2 linked regions of the Daphnia pulex genome follow. The protein of the gene in region 1 purifies or fractionates together with the protein of each later gene. This does not show direct contact. Links are inferred from orthologs where the notes say so. Each region holds a gene or a part of one and is shown on either strand. Other genes may lie near its edges. The genes, in order: splicing factor ESS-2 homolog and protein FRA10AC1-like.

The links.
Region 2: the proteins of splicing factor ESS-2 homolog (region 1) and protein FRA10AC1-like purify together in Homo sapiens (co-immunoprecipitation; 3 studies listed by BioGRID and IntAct, counting the BioPlex papers as one, with this or other methods). This does not show direct contact. The link is inferred for Daphnia pulex from reciprocal best matches to the Homo sapiens genes ESS2 and FRA10AC1.

The regions. Positions count from the first base shown.
Region 1 is NC_060025.1:1,560,480-1,570,568, forward strand, and holds splicing factor ESS-2 homolog, read right to left. Parts: upstream 4,818-10,089; coding exon 4,317-4,817; intron 4,256-4,316; coding exon 4,096-4,255; intron 4,025-4,095; coding exon 3,505-4,024; intron 3,433-3,504; coding exon 3,156-3,432; 3' UTR 2,976-3,155; downstream 1-2,975. Other genes in the region: MFS-type transporter SLC18B1-like, read right to left, coding at 1-175, 246-348; adhesive plaque matrix protein-like, read left to right, coding at 1,612-1,617, 1,691-1,846, 1,912-2,730. UniProt on the Homo sapiens protein: May be involved in pre-mRNA splicing.
Region 2 is NC_060023.1:11,999,618-12,009,060, forward strand, and holds protein FRA10AC1-like, read right to left. Parts: upstream 5,666-9,443; 5' UTR 5,551-5,665; coding exon 5,512-5,550; intron 5,406-5,511; coding exon 5,300-5,405; intron 5,226-5,299; coding exon 5,063-5,225; intron 4,996-5,062; coding exon 4,830-4,995; intron 4,768-4,829; coding exon 4,608-4,767; intron 4,552-4,607; coding exon 4,223-4,551; 3' UTR 4,193-4,222; downstream 1-4,192. Other genes in the region: chromobox protein homolog 1-like, read right to left, coding at 1,686-1,800, 1,893-2,008, 2,120-2,366, 2,437-2,537; radical S-adenosyl methionine domain-containing protein 2-like, read right to left, coding at 6,394-6,567, 6,634-6,666, 6,734-6,883, 6,951-7,369, 7,437-7,692; uncharacterized protein LOC124196619, read right to left, coding at 8,632-8,795, 8,857-8,987, 9,049-9,224, 9,284-9,443. UniProt on the Homo sapiens protein: May be involved in pre-mRNA splicing.

The sequences.
Region 1 (10,089 bases):
GTTTTCTGCTCCTGGACATGCCGAAGCACTGGTGATGTTTCAGCCATCGAAACTGCCCTATTCTTTTGCTCAGTTTCTGGGTAGGGTGGATAAGGCAGACAAGGCTGCGCCAGGGTTGTGAATGATCCAACATACCCATTCTTTAAACTGCTTGTGCTATCTAACTTTTCCTTAGCTATTATAAATGAAATAGGTAATGGCGTAAGACTTAATGACATGTGACAAGAAATACAAATTGTAATTACCCGATTCACTTTCTGAAGAAACTAAAAGGCTGCTAGCTGATCCAACTGAAGTAGCTGAATGGGCATCAGTCATTCGGATGGGAGAGATCGTAGACTGTGGCATTCCAACAAAATCTACTCTAAGATGAAAAATGGGAATTTACGCGATAGACAAGCGAGACACTGACCGACCACGTGGAGGCTCTTCGATCCACACACTCGTCCTGTCTTTTGCTGCACAGTTCAGATCAGTCGTTGATATACTTGTTGGTTTATCTTTTTCTTGAGAATACAATGAATTCCAATTTCCTCTTAAATAGGCTCAGTAATGGAACGCGAGTTTCCCTCGGTACAACAATGTAGATGCTGTGACAGGAACGATATCGCCTGCTCGACTACTTACGCCCCCAATGACCTGATTGAGAGATTGACCCACCCTCCAATTTCATGGCCGCCTGCTGGCGTTTTCTTTCTCAAGTAAGCAAATTATGCCGATTTTTTAATATCAATTTAACCGCCCCTGCCAAAGGTTGATCCGTGCTAGGTTCGAACTGAATGAAAAGAGTTTAGAAAATAATTAAGGCACCGGAAAACAAGTTTGAAAATTTCGAAGCGTTGTCGGGGAAATAAATCAGATGAAGATAAATTAAATATTATCAGTAAAATACTGAAAAACCTGCACGACTTGTTTAAACCTTGGTTCAAACTGTAAAGAAGTAAATGTAGCACTAAATAACAAAAAGGTAAAGGTTGGGAGCAGTGAACTTTCTTTCCCCCTTCCTTTCGCCAAAGTGACGTCATATTCCCGCCAATAGTTTGGCCTTGCCTTAGTATATCGATAGTTAATATCGATACTTAATTCTTAATTTCGATTTTTCCCTCCAAATTTCAAAAGTCCCCAAAATGTGTGCCATTGCCATTTCACCAAGAAAAATGTAAATTATTTTAATAATTCAAATCCTTCTGAGGCAGGTGCGATTAGCAAATATAGAAGCTAAATAATTGGAATGATAAAATTCCAATTAACAATCATTACAAAAGACTTGCTGGTGTCAGGTGTCAGTTTAAAAAAAAATCTAATAATGGAAGACAAGTTTTTATCAATCGAGGTCATCTCTCAACACCGAAGAAATAAAACGAGAAAGTTCTAGGACATCAATTTATTTTGGCTACGCTAATAATAAGAAGAGCAAAATGTACATTTTAAAAATAGCATCACAGCAATTAATTGCAACACCGCATTCTCTTTATTTCGTCAACCGATTTTGAATGATTGAAGTGGACTTTCTATAATGTCATGACAGTTTCAGTATATAAAGGAGGTCCAAGTTCCAAGAAAGCATCAGTCCTTCTCCTTGGTTGATTCAGCTTCAATTATTGTTCCAAAATGAAGGTAATAACACTTAAATAACTTCTAGTTAAAAATAAAAACATAATAGTTAATTGGCGATTTAAATATTTTGCAGGTTTTTGTTCTTCTTGCTTTGGCATTTACTTGCCTGGCTGATTCTGCAGCAGCTAATCAAGTTTGGTATGATACCGATCCTTATCATAACACTCCTGTTTATAAGAAACCAGAAAATGAACATCAAGGTGGTCACCATCACTCTGAACCCTACGACGTAAGCATAATTTCTAAATTATTAATTTGGTTATAGACGTTATCTTAACGAATTACATTAACCAGGAACATGGAACATACAACTACAATTTCAATGTAAAAGATGCGCATTCCAGCGTTGACTACGGCAAGCAAGAAACTAGTAACGGCAAAGGAGCTGTCTCTGGAAGCTATCACGTCATGCTTCCGGATGGTCGTAAGCAAAAAGTTACCTACCATGCCGACGAGAATGGTTACGTCGCTGACATCCAGTACGAAGGAGAGGCCAAAAACGATGAGACTCCCTATAGCGTTGGATCTTATCCTACTATTTACGCCAAGAAGGATGGAAAAAATGACGAAAATCCCCAACACAACTATCCCGTGAATCATTATCCTTCAACTACGACGGAAAAGTACCACGACACTTATTCTACTACCCCCACAAAGGACCATCAGATGTATCATCACCAAACTCATTACGTCAAAGCCAACATTCCCCACGCCAAGTACCCCGATATTTATTCAACTCCGTACAATACAGGCCATGAGACACATCACACTCCCTACGCCAAGGACAACACGCATTCCGCAACTCCCTACAATAAAGGCCAATACCATCATCAAGCTCCTTACGTCAAAGAACATGGTGCATCTTCCATCAAGTATAATCCCAATCCACACCCCAAGTACCCCCACCATTATTCTACTTCTTACCCTAAAGCCAGCGAGAATTACCAAACTCCTTACGTTAAAAGCCACAGCAACCACCCAGTACCCTACACCCAGTACCCCAAGGGTAGCTATAACCATGGAACTCTCAAAACTGCAAAGTACCATGACATTCATCCTACCACTTACTCTAACGGGCAACTATTAAGTTCCCAAGAAATGCCCAGAAAATAATCCAACCCCCTACAATCTCCACGAATTGTCGACCGTCTACAAGTTAATGAAGCTTGTCGTCCCCAAGATCTTTTAATTTGAGCTTACAATGATTAACATCATTTTCTGAATTACTTATTTAATGTAGTAACTTCTGTACCTAGTAAAATAAAAAAATTGAATGAATATTAAAATTGGTCAAACATGGCAAAGATTGGCAACACAGACGGATGGTCAGTTAATAATCGAATAATCAATGGATGTGATTCTTTCAATTATTAAGAGGAAATCAACGAAAAGACAAATAGTCTTTTCGCCAACCTCATTTGTATTCGCTTCAAGCTTATCAGCCATTTCATTCAGGTCTATCAACAGTCTGCCCCTCAACACTTCAACCAGGTGTAAAGGGGCTATCAAATATTCAATGCTAATTTAAGTGAATGATTTTAAAAGAAATCTTGAGCCTTGCGTTTGGGTAACTGGAGAAGATTGTCGGTCAGATTAGCGGCGCCAGAACCTCGAGCTCGAACAAGCGGTGAGGATCGTGGCGTTCCATAAGATGGAGTGGAAGGTGTCCGTCCATGAATTGGTGTTGGTGTCTCATCTCCCGATCGACGGCGCGGAGTATACGATGCTTGCAAAGCTGGATCGGTGCTGAGGCGGATGCCAAGTTTTGAAGTCGCCAACCGTCGAGCAGCAGGGGACATGAGCGCAATTCTTTGGCTAGTTAATGGATAAGAAAAAAAATTATGTGTAAGGGGCAATTAAAAGCGTAAGGCGATAAGTTTCATTTACCTCAAAGTTCCGGCGGTTTTAGGTGTTCCGCTACTAGAACGGGGTGAAGCCATTGGAGTAGCGGAGGATCGATTTCTTCCACGGCGATCTCGGTAACCTTGGCCGACTTTTTCCGCCAATTTGTGGCCAATTCTGTCCCGCTCGGACACGGGCTGCAGCTGGAAGGCGCCAACTCCAACTGAGGAAGACGGAAGAGGAGTGTCTGAACCATCTAAGCGAAACGGGGTTCCCTCAATTTCTCCCCAAGTCATTAGGGGTGATTCACCAACACCCGGTACTGGCGAAGGTGTTTTCATGAAGTCGAACCCGTTAACTGTGGGTGGCGCGTTGGACTTTATTTCCTTGCCATCAACGTCCACATGACCCTGTCTCGTATTGGTCTGTAATTGAGCTGCTTTATGCAACGCTTCTCTGTTTCGGGATTCGTCGAAAGGGTTCGACTGGTAATGCGTATTGGCGTACTGAATATGATCTTTGTCAAGGGCATATTTCACTCTTTCTTCCAGAGTATATGGGGCTCCTATTGAAGAAGAAGATTGCATGTTCAGATAAGTTTTTTTTATCAAGAAGCAATTCATTTATGTACTTTACCTTCAGGAACATACATAATGGAGTTTTTGACTCTGTATTTCCAGGTTTCAATCAATGCTGGCTTTGAATCCTCAATTGCCTGCTTTTCAATAGATGGAAGGGCCAAAGTCGAATCTTGCTTTGACGTGCTGTTGTCTTCAACATCATATAACCAGGAATACTGAAATCAAATAATAACATTAGGAATAAATTTTTTTAAATTTTGTTTTTAGAAATCATACCTTTAGTCTGTGCTTCCGCTTGGCTTCATCCATCATTTCCTCAAAGCTTTCATTGTCTTCACTTGTATTTTTGAATAGAAATTCATCGAGACTTTCTTGATCATCTATTGCCGTTCTTTTGGATGTGGTGCTAGAGGCACTGTGAACAGACATATAATCTTGAAAATCCCTTGTAGGTGTTTCAAATGTTGATGGGGTGGCGTGTCCTCTACGTGAATCGTGAACACCAGGACCAACACTGTATTTTTCATAAATTTCCCTTAGCTTGACTATATCATTTGTTTCCATAGCTTCTAAATAGGCGGCCTGCACTTGCAACTTGGTCAAATCAGGGAAAAAATCGCGTTGAATAATAGATTCCAGTTTGTGAACGAAGCTGTCTTCATCAAGGACTTTCTTCTTTTTTCTCGGGGCTTGAGCTGCCGAAGGGACTTTAAAAAGCGTCACTTCTTTCTTAACTTGTTGCAATGCTAAATTTTCTCCTTTTTTAAGCTCAGCCATTTTTAATAATTACAGTAGAAACTACACTGTAATAAGAAAACAAGTCAACTTTCCCCCAGAGAGAAAAATTGATTGTGAAACGTCGCGAGCGAAAGACAGCAGACAAAAGGCAAATGCCACATATTTGTGGTGAACCAATTCAACTTCACGTTGCCTAGACAAGTCCCTTTGTGTTTGAGACGATTGGTACGTGATTCACTCTCTTTCCAATCTTAAATTTTGATACTTAATGTAATGCTTTATCTTGTGTCAATTGTCCGTTAAAACGAATTGCCATCGAGGATCACAAATTACTAAAGCTTTTCTTTTGACAATCTTAATTTGTGGCTCTAGGCCTTATGGAAATGGCGCTGCTCCAAACTTGTGTGTAGCTTTCTAATGCGTCTCTTTTTGTTTTTGAAACGAAATAGGTTTTACAAGGCACAATTGTTTTAATGTCTTGACTTTCATCAATGAATGCTGATATTGACCATTCGCGTTCGTCGCGAAGACCAAGGCCTGAAGTTGCTGTTTACCGTCCTGGATCAGGACCTCTGAAAAAGTCAAGCAGCAATGTTGAAAACATACAGCCAGGCAGCAGCCTGCAAGGCACTGGAAGAGCAGACATTGACACTGGTCTTGAATCAAATTTTAGGAATGTCAATTTAAACGATGAGAGCAACAAATCTAAAGATCGGGGTGGTGAGGTTCACACTCAAGAATCCAAAACGAGAAGGACCAACAACCAGAGACAAGATAGAAATTCTGATAAGCCACGAACAGAAAATCACCACCAACAGCACACCAAAAAAAAGAAAGAAGAATTCAAGGAACCCCCTGTCCCGAGTAATCAAGGGAAGAGGCAGCTGTACTACCAAGACAATGTGGATGCAGGATCAAATCAAGACCTTCGACAGCTTCTTCTAGAGAAACAGCAGCAGAGAAGCAATGAATCCCCAGCAACTGGTCACCACGAAAGCAGTCCAACTCCAAATCAGCCTTCAAATGGCAAACAGAAGAATGACAACCGTCAAGAAAGACAGCCAGTCAAGCCAAAAGAAGAAGCGAGGGCAAGCCAGCCTAGCGACCCTTTCCCACCGAATAACGTTTCAAAATCTGCATCCATTGATTCGTCCCTGCTCTCAAGGCAGAGTGATAAAAGAAGTTCAGGCAGACGCCGAAACGATCGCAAACCTCGAGTGGAGAATTCGTTTTCCGATGGACACCTTGCTTCTTTAACTAACAACAATTCTTCAGCAGCAGCTACGAAACCGCCCTCATCCAAAACTTTTGAAGAGAAGACGGCTACAAGTGGTAGTTGGAACGATTCAGAGAGAAGCAAGAACAATAGTAAAGACAAACGAGACGGTAAGTTAAAATTGACGATTTAAACGGTTATTATTTTCTAACGGAATTGTTTGTATTGAAGGAAGTGGACGCAGTGGCAGTGGTAGGAAGAAACGAAACAATCGCGGTCCTGGAGGCAGTCGACGAGGATCTTTTTCTAGTGAAGCTGGAACCCCGGTTCCCGATCGTGATGTCAGAGGCACAAGTAGCACTTCCAGACCAGACGATTACAACTATTACCAGTCGACTACGCCAACTCGGTTCGTTCTTCTGGTGGACGAAGATAAACTTACGAAGAGAGCTGGAGGAAGTGGTGGATACTACCAGGCCACTGGTTCCAGTCGAAGCCGCCACACATCCAGCCCTCAAAGCAGCAACAGCAGGAACGGGATGATTGCAGAGGAGAATCCCGTTGCCAACGCAGTGTCTCCAACGAGCACTTCACGTCGCCCGCCATCGATCACCTCGCCATCGCCATCACCGTCACCTGGTTATCGTCAGAGTTCAGAACCGCCCGGCAACCCTAAATTCCAAGGCCAAGCGCAGAAGAATTCTGGGCGAGACCAGAGAAGGGAAGGACTCTTTGATGAGAGATCTCAGGACTCTTACCGGTCCGACGGAAGACCCCCATCCGGCCGTGGTGGATACTCTAAGAACGAACGCCCTTCGCTGCCCAACAAATACGATTCGCTTCCACCTCGTTTCAAGAAGAAATACGAAGAGGATCGCCTGCATCAATCGCAACCTGACCGGGTTCCTCAAACGGCCGTCCATCCGAGTCCAGTCGAAACCGAATGGGATGGCGGTTCTTGTACTTTTGTCAACATTTCCGGAGCCCCGGCAGTTCGACCATCGTTGCCTCATCCTTTCCCGCAATCATTGCCTCATGTCCCCAGCATCCGGCCGCACCATCCACCCCAACAACATCATCGACCAGGGTCTGGTGGAGGTGGCAAAGCGATCCGAGGCCAAGGGCGGTATCAGCAAGCCACAGGATTCGCTGCCAAAACAATGCCATTGTCTGATCAGGCGGAAGATTCCGATCCTGTTCATGTTCCTGTACGACCTCGCAGTCAAGATTCCATGTCGTTCTCCGATCGGGAACGCAAAACATCGGTGACGGACTCTAGGAGCTCGACGCCTTTGTCCAACGTCGACAGCAGTTCCGGCTTGCAGTCCCACCTGCGTGGCACTCTTCGACGACTGGAGGAAGTGACGGCCACTCAGACGTCGCTGGATTGGAGCGAAGAAATGGAAGAAGAAGACAAGAGAAGCCTAGCTGGATACCGACAAGCTCCACCGGCCAGACTTCCGGAAAAAGTTCCGGAGATCGTCTTTGCCTGTACGGATATTCGTTACAAGAATAAACCCATTCAAGGATACATCGTCCTCCCATCGGCAGCTTCTTCCACCAACGGAGTGGATGTCGACCGACAGACTGGACCTACCCCTCCACCGATGACTGGGCGACCTCTCCTGGGCCAGGGTCGTAGGCAGGAAGCGGGTAAGAGCGGACCACCGCGAATGTCCGTTCCAGGGTTGATCCAGCTGCCAATAGGTCCTCCACCGTCGATGGAACAATCGCGCCTTTCCTCTTCGCCCAGGCGAAGTGATTTCACGGCTCCTTCGGCCTCCTCGTACGACAGATCGTCCATTCCTCGTCAGCAGGATCATAACCGTGGTGGTGGTGACGTGGCCAATCGTTCCTATCCTCGCAAAACTGGCCCAGTGCAGCAGCGCACCCTGTTTGATCCTGCCAATCCGCACAAGCCGATTGTGGTGGCCACCAGAGCCGATGACGGACCGAATAGCCAACAATCGACGGCCGCATCGTCGCTAGGTTGCCCGGAAATGACTTTCCTGACTCTTCCGGCTGATCAAAGCAACGTCAATTCTTCTGCAAGGCCAGCGTGGTACGACCCACAGTCTGAAAAGTAATTACAAGGAATAAATTAACTCGTTTCTTATTCTTCCGAGTATTTTCTATTTGCTCATTTCATTGACGTCACTTGGTAATTTCGTTGTTGTCTCCTCCAGTTTCCGGAGCAGCAAAAGTCATCCGCACCTCCTTATGGACATGGCCCGTTGCGACATGGAGTTGTCGTGGTTGCTTCACGGTCAAGGTCTCCACCAGCGGTTCGGCCGCATCCAGATGAACAGGTTTGTAAAATTTTTTTTTACGGATGACGACATTTCACAATTGTTGGCCTCATTAAATTCGGTCCAGGTATTTTTAACATTTTCTTTTGTTTTTTTGATTTGATTGGTTCCGTCATTGCAACAGGAAATTCTTCCAGAACAGCTTGCGGATCATGTTGGCCAATGATTTGCGCTTCTGCGCTATGGAGAACGTTGAGCAGCACATGTGGAAGGTGGCATTCCACAATGTCATTGAAGCATTGCGCAAGGCCACGGCCGAAGAACCCGAAGCCAAAGAGGAATACAGGTCGCTCCTGTTCAACGTCATTGACGAGGTATAATTGTTTGGATCATTACATCATTTCGCTTGTTTAAACACGCATTTTCATTTGTCCAGGGAACCGCCTATTTCGAGATGCTGTTGGAGACGCTGCAAGAGTCGCACAAATTCAACCTGGAAACGTACCTCGAGCCGCAGCCTTACCCTTTGCTCTCGGGACTGGGCTACGTTGGCCTGGCCATCATCTCGTGTCAAAAGATCCTCATCTTCCTCGGCGATTTAGCCCGTTATCGTGAAATGACGTCCGAAACTTCCAACTACGGCAAAGCCAAAAGGTTTTCTTTTGAAATATCTTTTGTATACAACTTCTAACGCCGTAATTGCGTGTTTTTTCTCATTCTGACAGTTGGTACACTAAAGCTAATTTGACTAACCCGAAAAACGGCCGACCGTACAATCAACTGGCCATTTTGGCACTCTACGCGGTATGTACATTGTATACACTGGCAGCTTTAAAAAAACCAAAACAACAATTCTTTCAATTATCGATTCGTAACAGAGACGCAAGCTGGATGCTGTTTACCTTTACATGCGCAGTTTAATGGCCTCCAATCCTTTCCAATCGGCCAGGGAGAGCCTCGTCTCCCTATTCGACGAGAATCGTAAAAAGGTATTTTGCAATCGCCTTTCGTGACCCGCGTCCATCAAACGTTTGAATAATTTTTTTTTTTTTTTTTAATTTCCCAGTACGAACAACAGGAGCGTAAACGGCGTGAAGCCAAGGAGGCCAGCAGCAACCGCCGCAAAGAGTCTGCAGCTTCTTCTTCTTTATCGTCGGGCGTTGTTTCCGACGCTGCCAAAATCGACCGTCTGGAATTGAGACGAGAAATTTGGATCCATCCGCTGGATGGGCGCCGTACCCGCCGGACCACCAGCACCGGCACCAACGGTGCTTCCGACTCTAATGGCCTCAACAGCGACGACGAAGAGCTGGCCCAGCTGCCCAGCATCGAGGTGTGTATCCTAAACACACATTTTTGTGTTTAGGATTATGGTTATTACTATCGATGTATTCAAGTGGTATTAGGTACTATGAGCGAAAGAAGCATCAGAGAGCTGTTAAGATGCTTTTCAGATGACCGCAGAACCCCGGGGTGTAGTAACAACGGGCTTTTACATCGACGGGGGGTAGTAAAAAAAAGTTAGAAAGATGAAAGACGACAAAAAACAACCGAGTTCTTTCTTCTTCTTCTGGTTGTTGATGATGGGCTCTTCGTGACTTCACGAAGCCATCACGGGTGGCGTGGCGACACTGGAAACAAAAACAAAAAAGTTGCGTATTCTCGCAGAAAAAAAAAAGAAGATTTAAAAAAGATGAAACAACCAACCTGTTTGTACGTGGCGTGTGCAGTTCGTGACTGCCTAATAAAAATGTTGAACCTGCACGGCCGGGAAAAAAACAAAACCGAAAGGAACGGAGGAAATGGACATGTCATTTCGTACTTCTCACTGGGGGTAGAAAAAGGT
Region 2 (9,443 bases), on another chromosome or scaffold:
AAATACCACAATAACGGATCAATTTTCATGGAATGGTGGAAATCAGTAATGAATTTAGTTTTGAATACAGGATTATTATAAGAAATCGTAACAACTAGATCTTAGTGTCGGGCATAAACAAAATAAATTTGATCGCTTCCGTCCTGCTTTCATTGATGTCAGTGCATTTAACGCCAAATTGTTAACAAATGAATGTAAAGTCAACCTTTTTTTTCAATTTTGTCAACGAATTATTGCCCTTTAATTCCGAAACGGAAAAGAATCGCGCATCTACAAAGAAACAATATTTAGCATAATTAATTGCCTATGATTCATCAGTTGTTTAAAAATGTGTTTCACATACTTGATTCATTGTTTGGTTTGCCAGCTTTGGTGCGAGTTTTCAATCCCGTCACCAAATCACGTTTGTCCTAATTTGAGCAAAAAAGAGAAATGCAAGGCTATTAGCATTCGACCGAAAGGACATGAATTAATAAGAACATCTCAACCTTAGCGTGAATTAAATCGAGAGCCATTTGCAGTCCCAACTGCTTTTAAATCGGTCGGTCAGCTTTAAATCGGTTCAGTGCACTTGTGATGTACAAGTACATGTGCAAATCGAGAAATCGGCCGAGCGCGCTACCCATTTCAGCTTGCTCCATTTCCAGTGGCGATAGCACCTCGACGAACGACGAACACTCAGCAGCTTTGTAGAAAAGATTTGAAAGTTCCGCGTTAATAACAAACGTTAAATACCTGTGGAAAATTGAGTGACAACTAGCCGATTCGAGACAAAACAATAGTTAGTTTTTTCGACATGAAGCGAACATTTTAAAACAAATACTTATCCGGGACTTCCGCACTGGCAAGAGCTACTATCTCTTTTCTACTTGTTCAAGTCTTGAAGAGTTATCTTGCAGTTTGCGGGCAGTAGTTACGTGGAGATCAAAATTGCACAGCTGAAACCTATAAACTGTTTGAAACTGATGAACCAAAGGTAATAAACGGCATTCAATCTGTATGCATGGCCGAAAGAATAACAACATTTAAGAACTGATAATTAACTTGGTGTACAAACATCATAAATGCTGCTTTCTTCCTTAATTCTGCAACATTTTACTTACCTTTTAAGCTTACATTTCGTCCAGAAAATGACAATTGTTTTTTTTTCTTTTTAATTCTGCATTGGAGGAAGTTGATATGTTGATGGAAGGATGTGGGAGGGATTAACCTATACTGTTTTATTAAGACATTATACTTTTGAAACAGATCTAAATCATACTTACCTCATGTGCTGATAGCATGGTGACTTCTAATTTGTCTTCAGTTCTAATAAAATGTGAGTTTAAGAATATGAAAGGTGTTGACAATTCAAAAACAAGTTATAAGACATCCGTTTTATTTCTGGTTCTGTGAACCTAGCGCTAAAAAACATCGATTTACTCTAGCTTCAAAGACAAATGAGTATAATGAACATAAAAGCTGTTTCATCACTTGCTAGATAATACTAAGATATGGTTGATAAGAGAAAGATGTGGAGGGCTAAACAATAGAGAAGGAAGAAAAAGGATCTGTGTTTCTGAAGTGGGCAGTAAGATCAGGATCTATCAACCAGCTCATTCTTCTTAAACATGGCATTGCACGATCGTGCATTTTTGAAGATTAAAATAAAAGGGGAATTATTTCTGTAAGCATTCGTCTTACTTTTAATTTTTTTTTTCACCCCAAATAAGTTTGCTTTCGTAGAATTTGATGACCATTTGAGGAAATAAAACATATGCTTTTTCAGCAGGAACAAATTCAGGCACATCTTGATCTTTCCTATAAGATTTGAAACCATGTTAGTAAATTCAATGAAACATTTGATAAGCTGGGATAGAAAATTATTAAAAGGAGAAACGAGAAGAGCTAACCATCTGATGAGGAAATGAAGTTCACCAGGCTCGTCGTCATCATAAGTATCGGTTAAGCCTAAAATCGCCTCAGCCTCAAGGCCGAGTTCGACTCCACGTGGTGGTTGGGGTTGGTCCTGTTACATAGTCAAATATGGGGAAATAAAAATAGTTTAAATCTTAAGTTCTTTACATCAAACAAGAATTTCCCCTTAAATGAATTAAAGATTGAACACTAAAAATCTAACCTCTTGGTCTTTTTTCTTTCCAGCTGCCTTCACTTTTGCTGGTTTGTCTTTGATGGATGTTGAACGTTTATTTTCCTTGATGGTACCTTCTGTTTTCTTTTTGGGTTGGTCCAATTTTTCTTTTCTCTTTTTTTCAAATTCAGCAATTAATTCATGGCAATCTAATGCATCGACAGGCTCCCAGGTGTTCTCTTCATCTTCATAACCTTTCCATTTTAAGAGGTACTCCACCTTCCCTTGAATTTCTCTAGAATAATTATAAAATAAGATGGTTATTTTCTTATCAAGAAAAGCAATCTGCAAGTAAGCTAGCTTACCTTCTATCCACAACTTTTTCAACTTCGTATTCTGGCTCCACTACACTGACTTCCTCAGGTTCAGAATCTTCAGACAATTTCTTTTTATTAACTCGGCCCATGGTGGAAATGAATATTTTAAGTCTCTCTTGTCAACTCTTTTCCTAAAACAATCTTCCAAATAAAAATAAAAAAAAATTCAGTTACATTATGAAACGATGCAATATGAACAGTTGCAATGGAGCACATGGCGCTGATGACTCATAGATAATTGATTTAAGCTGTTTCTCATTTCATTTTGTAAATAAATTTGAGTTTGTTTGTTTATAGCAGGTTAATACTGTACTTAAAATTAAGAAAACACCCACTCAAAATCATCAATTACCTACAAAATCACCGTGAATGAAGATTACGGAAGCGTGGTTTAAGAAACAGAGACGTACAGAGACGTTCTAACACGTTGGCTGCCACAGACGAACTGACGATGTCGACTGTAATGTACTTCAAGTCCAACCCTGGTGGGCTGGTGGTAAATTTTTAAATTGTAACTTAAACGCTTAAACAAAAAATAATAGTAATAAAGAAAAAATGTTAGGAAGGAGACAAGTAAAACAATCTATTCTTAATTTACATAATCGTTTTTTTTAACTGAAATTTTTCAAAAGATGCAAGAACGTTTGAAGAGATTACAGGGTGATTGGTCGACTAAATCACGTGATCAATGGTTCGTGACCTTCGACGATCATCAATTGTTTTTATAGAATGTTGTGGAAACACTGAAACACCAAGCGACGCACAATATAGTAATTTGAAGAACTAGAAATCAACAGTGAAATATGCTAACTTGTTTTGCTGTTTAAGTCAGCACTCAGCAGTTTGTAACATTTTACAACCGAATCCTCTGGGCTCTGTCTCGAGTTTCAAAAAACGATGGAGGGAGTGGGGGGGGGGGATAGAGCCATTTAATAAATAAAATAAACGAAAATAAGAACTGTAAATTTGTGTTTTATTAGCTACGTTGACGTAACAATTGAATGAATCGTTTAATACCAACAGGGGAGGGCAGAAATCGGTGTTAATATATCCTTCTTCCCGTTGTCTTTCGATGCCGACAGTTTAGGCAGGCGGATCACGTCCAGCTGTTGTCAAATTTTCAAAAGAGAAAGTCGAGTTGAATGTGTTCGTAACATATTGAAATCCTCGTAGAATGGAAAATCTGCCCAAGTACATGAAAAACCAAGCCATACCAATAATGCCGAAGTAAAATATCGCTACTGTAAGGAGAAAATAGCGACAGCCATATGTGCTGCAGTGCGATTCCTGCTGATCATCTTCCACTTCAGGATTCTCCGATTCTGTTTCTACATCACTTTCGTCCTCCTCGGAGACCTCTAGGATTTCGGAGTCTTCAGTGTTTTCGGTCTCTGTGATATCTTTCGGATTAGCCATTTATTCGCCAGACAATGGATAAGTATCTATGATGACTCACCGACGGCTTTATATAATGTGTCATCTGCTCGACATCATACGCAAACCAGTTTCATGACCTTTGCACAGGCCATAAACATAATTGATATTTAGGTGGATTAAGGATTCAATCATATTATCAAAAATTTTAAATTTACAAATAATGTTCATTGAAAAACCATTGAAATATTAATTATTTGAAAATATAGGAAGTGTTTAAAGGATACATCACGTACTTTCACGGCCCGACGTATGCTGGACGTATGTAACCCTTTCAACTGAAAATTATCGATTAATAAAATCATTCAAGTTTGTTCGAGATCGTCAAGTATATTGTGTTTCAAAGAAACAAATCTTCTAAAAACTCTTCAAACTCGTCGTCGCGTGATTTGTCTTCGGTTGTCTGTTGGCCCTCGCGCCAAATATCTGTACTGTCGCTGAGTTCTTGAGTTTTACCAGGATTAGCAGAAGATGGCTCGTCAGCTTCAGTCACGCCATCTTTACTGGTTCCCGGAGCCGGTTCCTCGGTGCTTGGCTCACCGCCTTCACTCTTTCTTCGATCCTTCGATGATCGCTTACTCTTCGTTTCCTTCTTGATCTTCTTCTTCTTTGTAACTTCTTTCCTCTTGTGATGGAAATTAAGATTATGTGAACAATCGTTACACAAACCTTTAAATTAAAGTTGCAAATTAAATCGAAAGAAATATGAAACTTGTGTAACTTACGAATTTTTACTAGCGAATTCTTTCTCACTCCATGTTCCACGTAGGCAAAATTAATCTCCCAAGTCCTCAAGTTATCCTTTTGTGGGCAATTCTGTTCCCCGCAACTGAATTGCCCTTTACCCGTGACGACCTCCTTTTCAACTCTCCATCGAATGCCAACCTAGCGGATGAAATAATAAAAATACATATTTTGAATAATTCGAGATTTTCATTTCAGTATACCTTGTTTTCCTTGTATCTTCTGAGGTCACAAATACAGTATTCTTTGAAAAGCTTGTCGTGGTACTTTTTGGCTATCTGTTTTCCCCAGGTGTCGATCGTGTCGTCTTCTTCCCACAAAAATTGATGATTCTCTTTGATGATGTCAAAATCTCTTTTATCTCTTGTCCTAAAGTAAAGAGTAAAAAATTACTGTAATTAAATTGTTTGGGTAAGAAGAAGAATATTTCACATACTTGTCACGTTTCAGCATATCAGCTCCTCCAGGTATGGAGAGGTAGTATTCGTTGATGAGAAGCTTGTGCCTGTCGTAAGCTGTTAACCCCCTCAATTGTGATTGCATACTTCGTCTGGCTTCTTGTGCATATTGCTCAGTGAAAGCAGATTTGGAAACTAAACCTGTTATTTAAAAAATGTATTCAGAGTAAAAGTTTGTGAGACAGTCAGTACTGCATTAAAAAACTACACATTACCTTCACTTTTTGGTTTTTCTTTCACAACCCAATCCTTCTTTCTTTTTTTCCTTTTGTTTTCCTCTTCATCTCCTTCATAACTGGAATCATATCCTCCAGCATCTAACTAGGATGATTTCAAATCAGATAAAGAGTTATTCAAAATTGTTCAGTTCCACTAGACTTTTGACTAGGGGAAATGAGATCTGATAAATGAGATCTTAACGACCAACCTCAAGTGGAGAACCTCGCCGCGAGTTACGAGATGACATGCTGTATTCAAAATTATAGTTAGAGTTGATAGGATTAGAAGTTAGATCTGAAAGTACGAAGTTCTCACAACCGTCAAAACAATCCCGGTTTGTTTTTATTTATTTACTTCCGTCGACAACGCCATCTATGTTCCGTTCTACCATTCACATTCAATTAGAATGCAAAACGTTACACGCGGCAAAATTGTTTTGAATAATGCAAACGGCAATATAAGAGAATCTCGGTCAGTAGCCCAAAGACACGATAATAACCAATTCATTCGTATCAAAATAATGGTGAAAAACTACCCAAATTCATAAGGACTCTTCCTCGCACGGACCGGTTGCCGTGCCAATTTCACGAATACAAAATGCGACAAAATGTTATGATTGTATATAATTTAAAGAAATAAATCCTAGAAAAAAAGACTACAACAGAATACAAAGAATTAGTCTCTTTTCAAAAGTAAACGACACGTCACGGCACTCATCTTTCCATCGGCCATACGTAATTTGATAAGTGATTGAAATGTTCCATATGCAATCTCGCTTGATACACAGTCCAATTACCTTATTTACCCCTAAAAAAAAGGTAAAAATTTTTTCTAAATGGGACATCGTTTGGAAAACAAAATAACTAGGTATGATAATTTGATTTCAGGAATTATGGTACCTTAATGGATATACTCTCGTTGACTTTTTAGGCAACCCTATTCATTCCGCACTGTTAAACTCAAAAGATTGTACGATTGCAGTCATTTTGTATTTCTTAGAAAAGAAAGAGGTACACATTCTTTTTTAAAAGAAAAATCTTTGGCTGAGTGGAAATTTGTCAAGTGTCAGACGTTTACGATATCATCGATTTCACCACTCTAACAGAGATGGAGACATATCGGACTTACTCCAAGTATATTTGCCTCCACGCTGGAAGAACATTTCTTCGTCAAAACCACTCCAGTGGATGGCCGCTTCCACACCGACGTCCAGCAGGGACGGCGATGGAGTCTTTTGCCCGTTTGTACAATCAAGGAATCTCATCTGAAAATTAAAATGAACAAATTATGTTGATTTAATCAAAAATTACATCTTTTAATAACAGATTACCCTCTCGTCCAAAATCAAATAAGAATTGCGCATCTAAAAATAACAGCACATTGAATTAAAATGTAAAATAATCAAGAATTTTAAAAAGTTATTTACGTACTTTGATATTGGATTCGGGAACCAAACAAGCCACGCCCGAATGACGCTGTAGAAAAGTCTCAAACTGTTGATCTGAAATAACTAATTTCTCCGCGTTACGTAAAGCCTCCTCACCTTGATTTTCTCCGCCGATGAGCAAACATTGGAACACCTGTAAATAATTATTCTTTATAATCATTTCACGACATGCTTATTTAAAAAAAAAATGATTTTCTTACTTTCCAACGGACGGGATTCAGTTGATGGATCTGACTGTTCATGTCCTCGTCGACATTGTGTACATTAATGACGGAATTGATTTTGAAGGCGACTCGATAATCCCGACACCATCCTCTCACCCGTTCCAAACTTTCCAGGTGTTCACTTCCTTCGTCACCGGTTTGAATTTTGTTGCCATTCCGGTGACGGCCAATCAAATGATTGGTCTCGACCTTAAAACTGTCGCAAGAAACGGCCAAAATGTCGAGATATTCACCGAATCGAATGAACCAGTCTTCGGTGATGAGACTGCCATTGCTGACGATACTGACGCTGGCCAGTCCCAGTTCCCGCTTGCAGAATTGAACAAGCTGGCCCAAATAGCGACCTTTCTGATGAATAAACGGCTCTCCACCCGAGAAGTTGATCTTTTCCATTCCTGCGTAAACGTACGAATTCAACAATGGAGAAATCAATGATTGAAATATGACCAGCTCAATTCTTACCTGCTTCATGGAGGAGCCGGAGTCCCCGCATGGCTTCTTCCAGAGGTAAAACGAAACTCGATTTGGCCGTGTGAAAACAGAATCCACACTTGTAGTTGCATTGGCGGGTAAAATGGTAATTGACGCTGGTCGGCCGAGGTGACAAATAGGACGAAATTCGTTTCGATTTGTCATCGACTCGCTGGTAATAGATGCGAAAGATCCATTTAACAACGGATTGCCAAAATTGGCGGATCCAGATCTCCAAAAACGTCATGTTCCTAATTACGCCGAGTGTTGCTTACTAATCGGACCGATTAATTTGAATGTCAGCACTTGCCAAGAGTCACATAACCGTGTGTGAGGTCTTTTCCGACGTCCTCAAGTACTTGTAGTCCGCATTTGTATACAACTTGTAGGGGCGTGGCTTCTTGTCTGCGTATCATCGTTCCCAAACCAAAAAGTGCACGTGGCAGCTCAGCGTCATTTTGATAAGTTGATTTTTCACGGGCTGGAAACGGGATCGTTGAACACAAAGGCACGTTTTATTGCCTTTTCAAGTTTTCCACGAATTGTGATCCATGCCGCCGCTATGTAACTTGAAGATTGATTAGAAAAAATAGTTACACGGAAAGATTATTAAAGGCGAATGAGTCAGTTGGCAAACAAGTAAACTGGCCAGCGCGGCACTTTAAACGATCCGTTTACAACGATATAAAAGTAGACGATAATACGTTGAGATAAAATGAAATAGCGATGAAGAAAAATACCCATATTGTTCAAATATTGTGTTGGTGACTCAGTAGCTCGGTTTTTACCATAACACTCTCAACGATTATTTCTCTGCAAAAGCTCTAAAATTGACTAAATTGGATTAGTTAAGAAAAGTATAGTAACAAACGTGATTGGCGGTAAAAATTAAAACACTCGTATGTTGTATTTTGCATCCTGTAAATTCACCAGTCAAAATATTATGATGATAACTCATTGAGACAGCTCATACCTTTTGTGATTTCTTTTTGCCTCAACGACTGATTTCATTCTGAGGTAAATGCTAATTATTTAAAAAGCAATCGAGATCTCCACCACATCGATTTAATAAAAGGCGAAAGGTACTGGAATTGGGAAGACAGCCTGGGATTTTTGTTCTTTCTTCATTAGGAACGACTAGGTAAATTGTTGTGTCCACACTCCTGCCACATGCGAATCAGATCTTCTACTTGATCTCCACGGCGAAATCGTAATTGGTGGGTTCGCGGGGTATGGCTGGCGGCTCTTCGGGCAAGTCCAATCCTTCCACGTCGAGCAACCTGAGTTTTGTGTTCATCGACAGTAGAAATTCCAAATCGGCCATGGCCTCTTTGCTCGTCATTTTATTGCCTGTAAAGTTTGAATTTGTAAAAATTGTGATTGAATTGTATTTTATCTTTGAAATACGGACCTAGAAGTGCATTGATTCCATCTACCCAGTAGTCGAACGTTTGCTGATCGGGTGCCACGAAATCCAGCGATCCCACATCATGAGAATCGAGCATCAACGAAAATGGAAATTGCGACGTTGTCTTCTTACCCCTAAGAAAAGAATTTCATTGTCAATGTTATTTATTCTTTAATTGTTGGTCAGGAAACTCACTTTAGATCTTTCATGTGTGGGCAATCTTTTCCGGTGACCAGAGTGCGGATGTCGACAATGGACAATTTCTCCTTCAATTCGTCTAGTGCCGGAACGCTCTTTTCATCGCAATCGCCGTAATGCAAGACTCGGTGATTAGGCGACAGGCGAACGTACCAAAACTTGTCCTTGACCCTCTGTCAATGATTAATTATATTTTATTGATGAATTTTGTAATAGAACACTTTTTGATTACCCCTCGATTGGTGTACTTGCTGAAGCGAGTGCCCTCTGTGAGGAATCCTAGTCTCTGTTGCTGAATGAGTTCGAGAATTTCCGGCTCGATTTGTTGGCGCAATTCCATAATGGGCCGTGACCTGGACTCCCATTTCTCACGACTTGTACGCTCCTGTTGC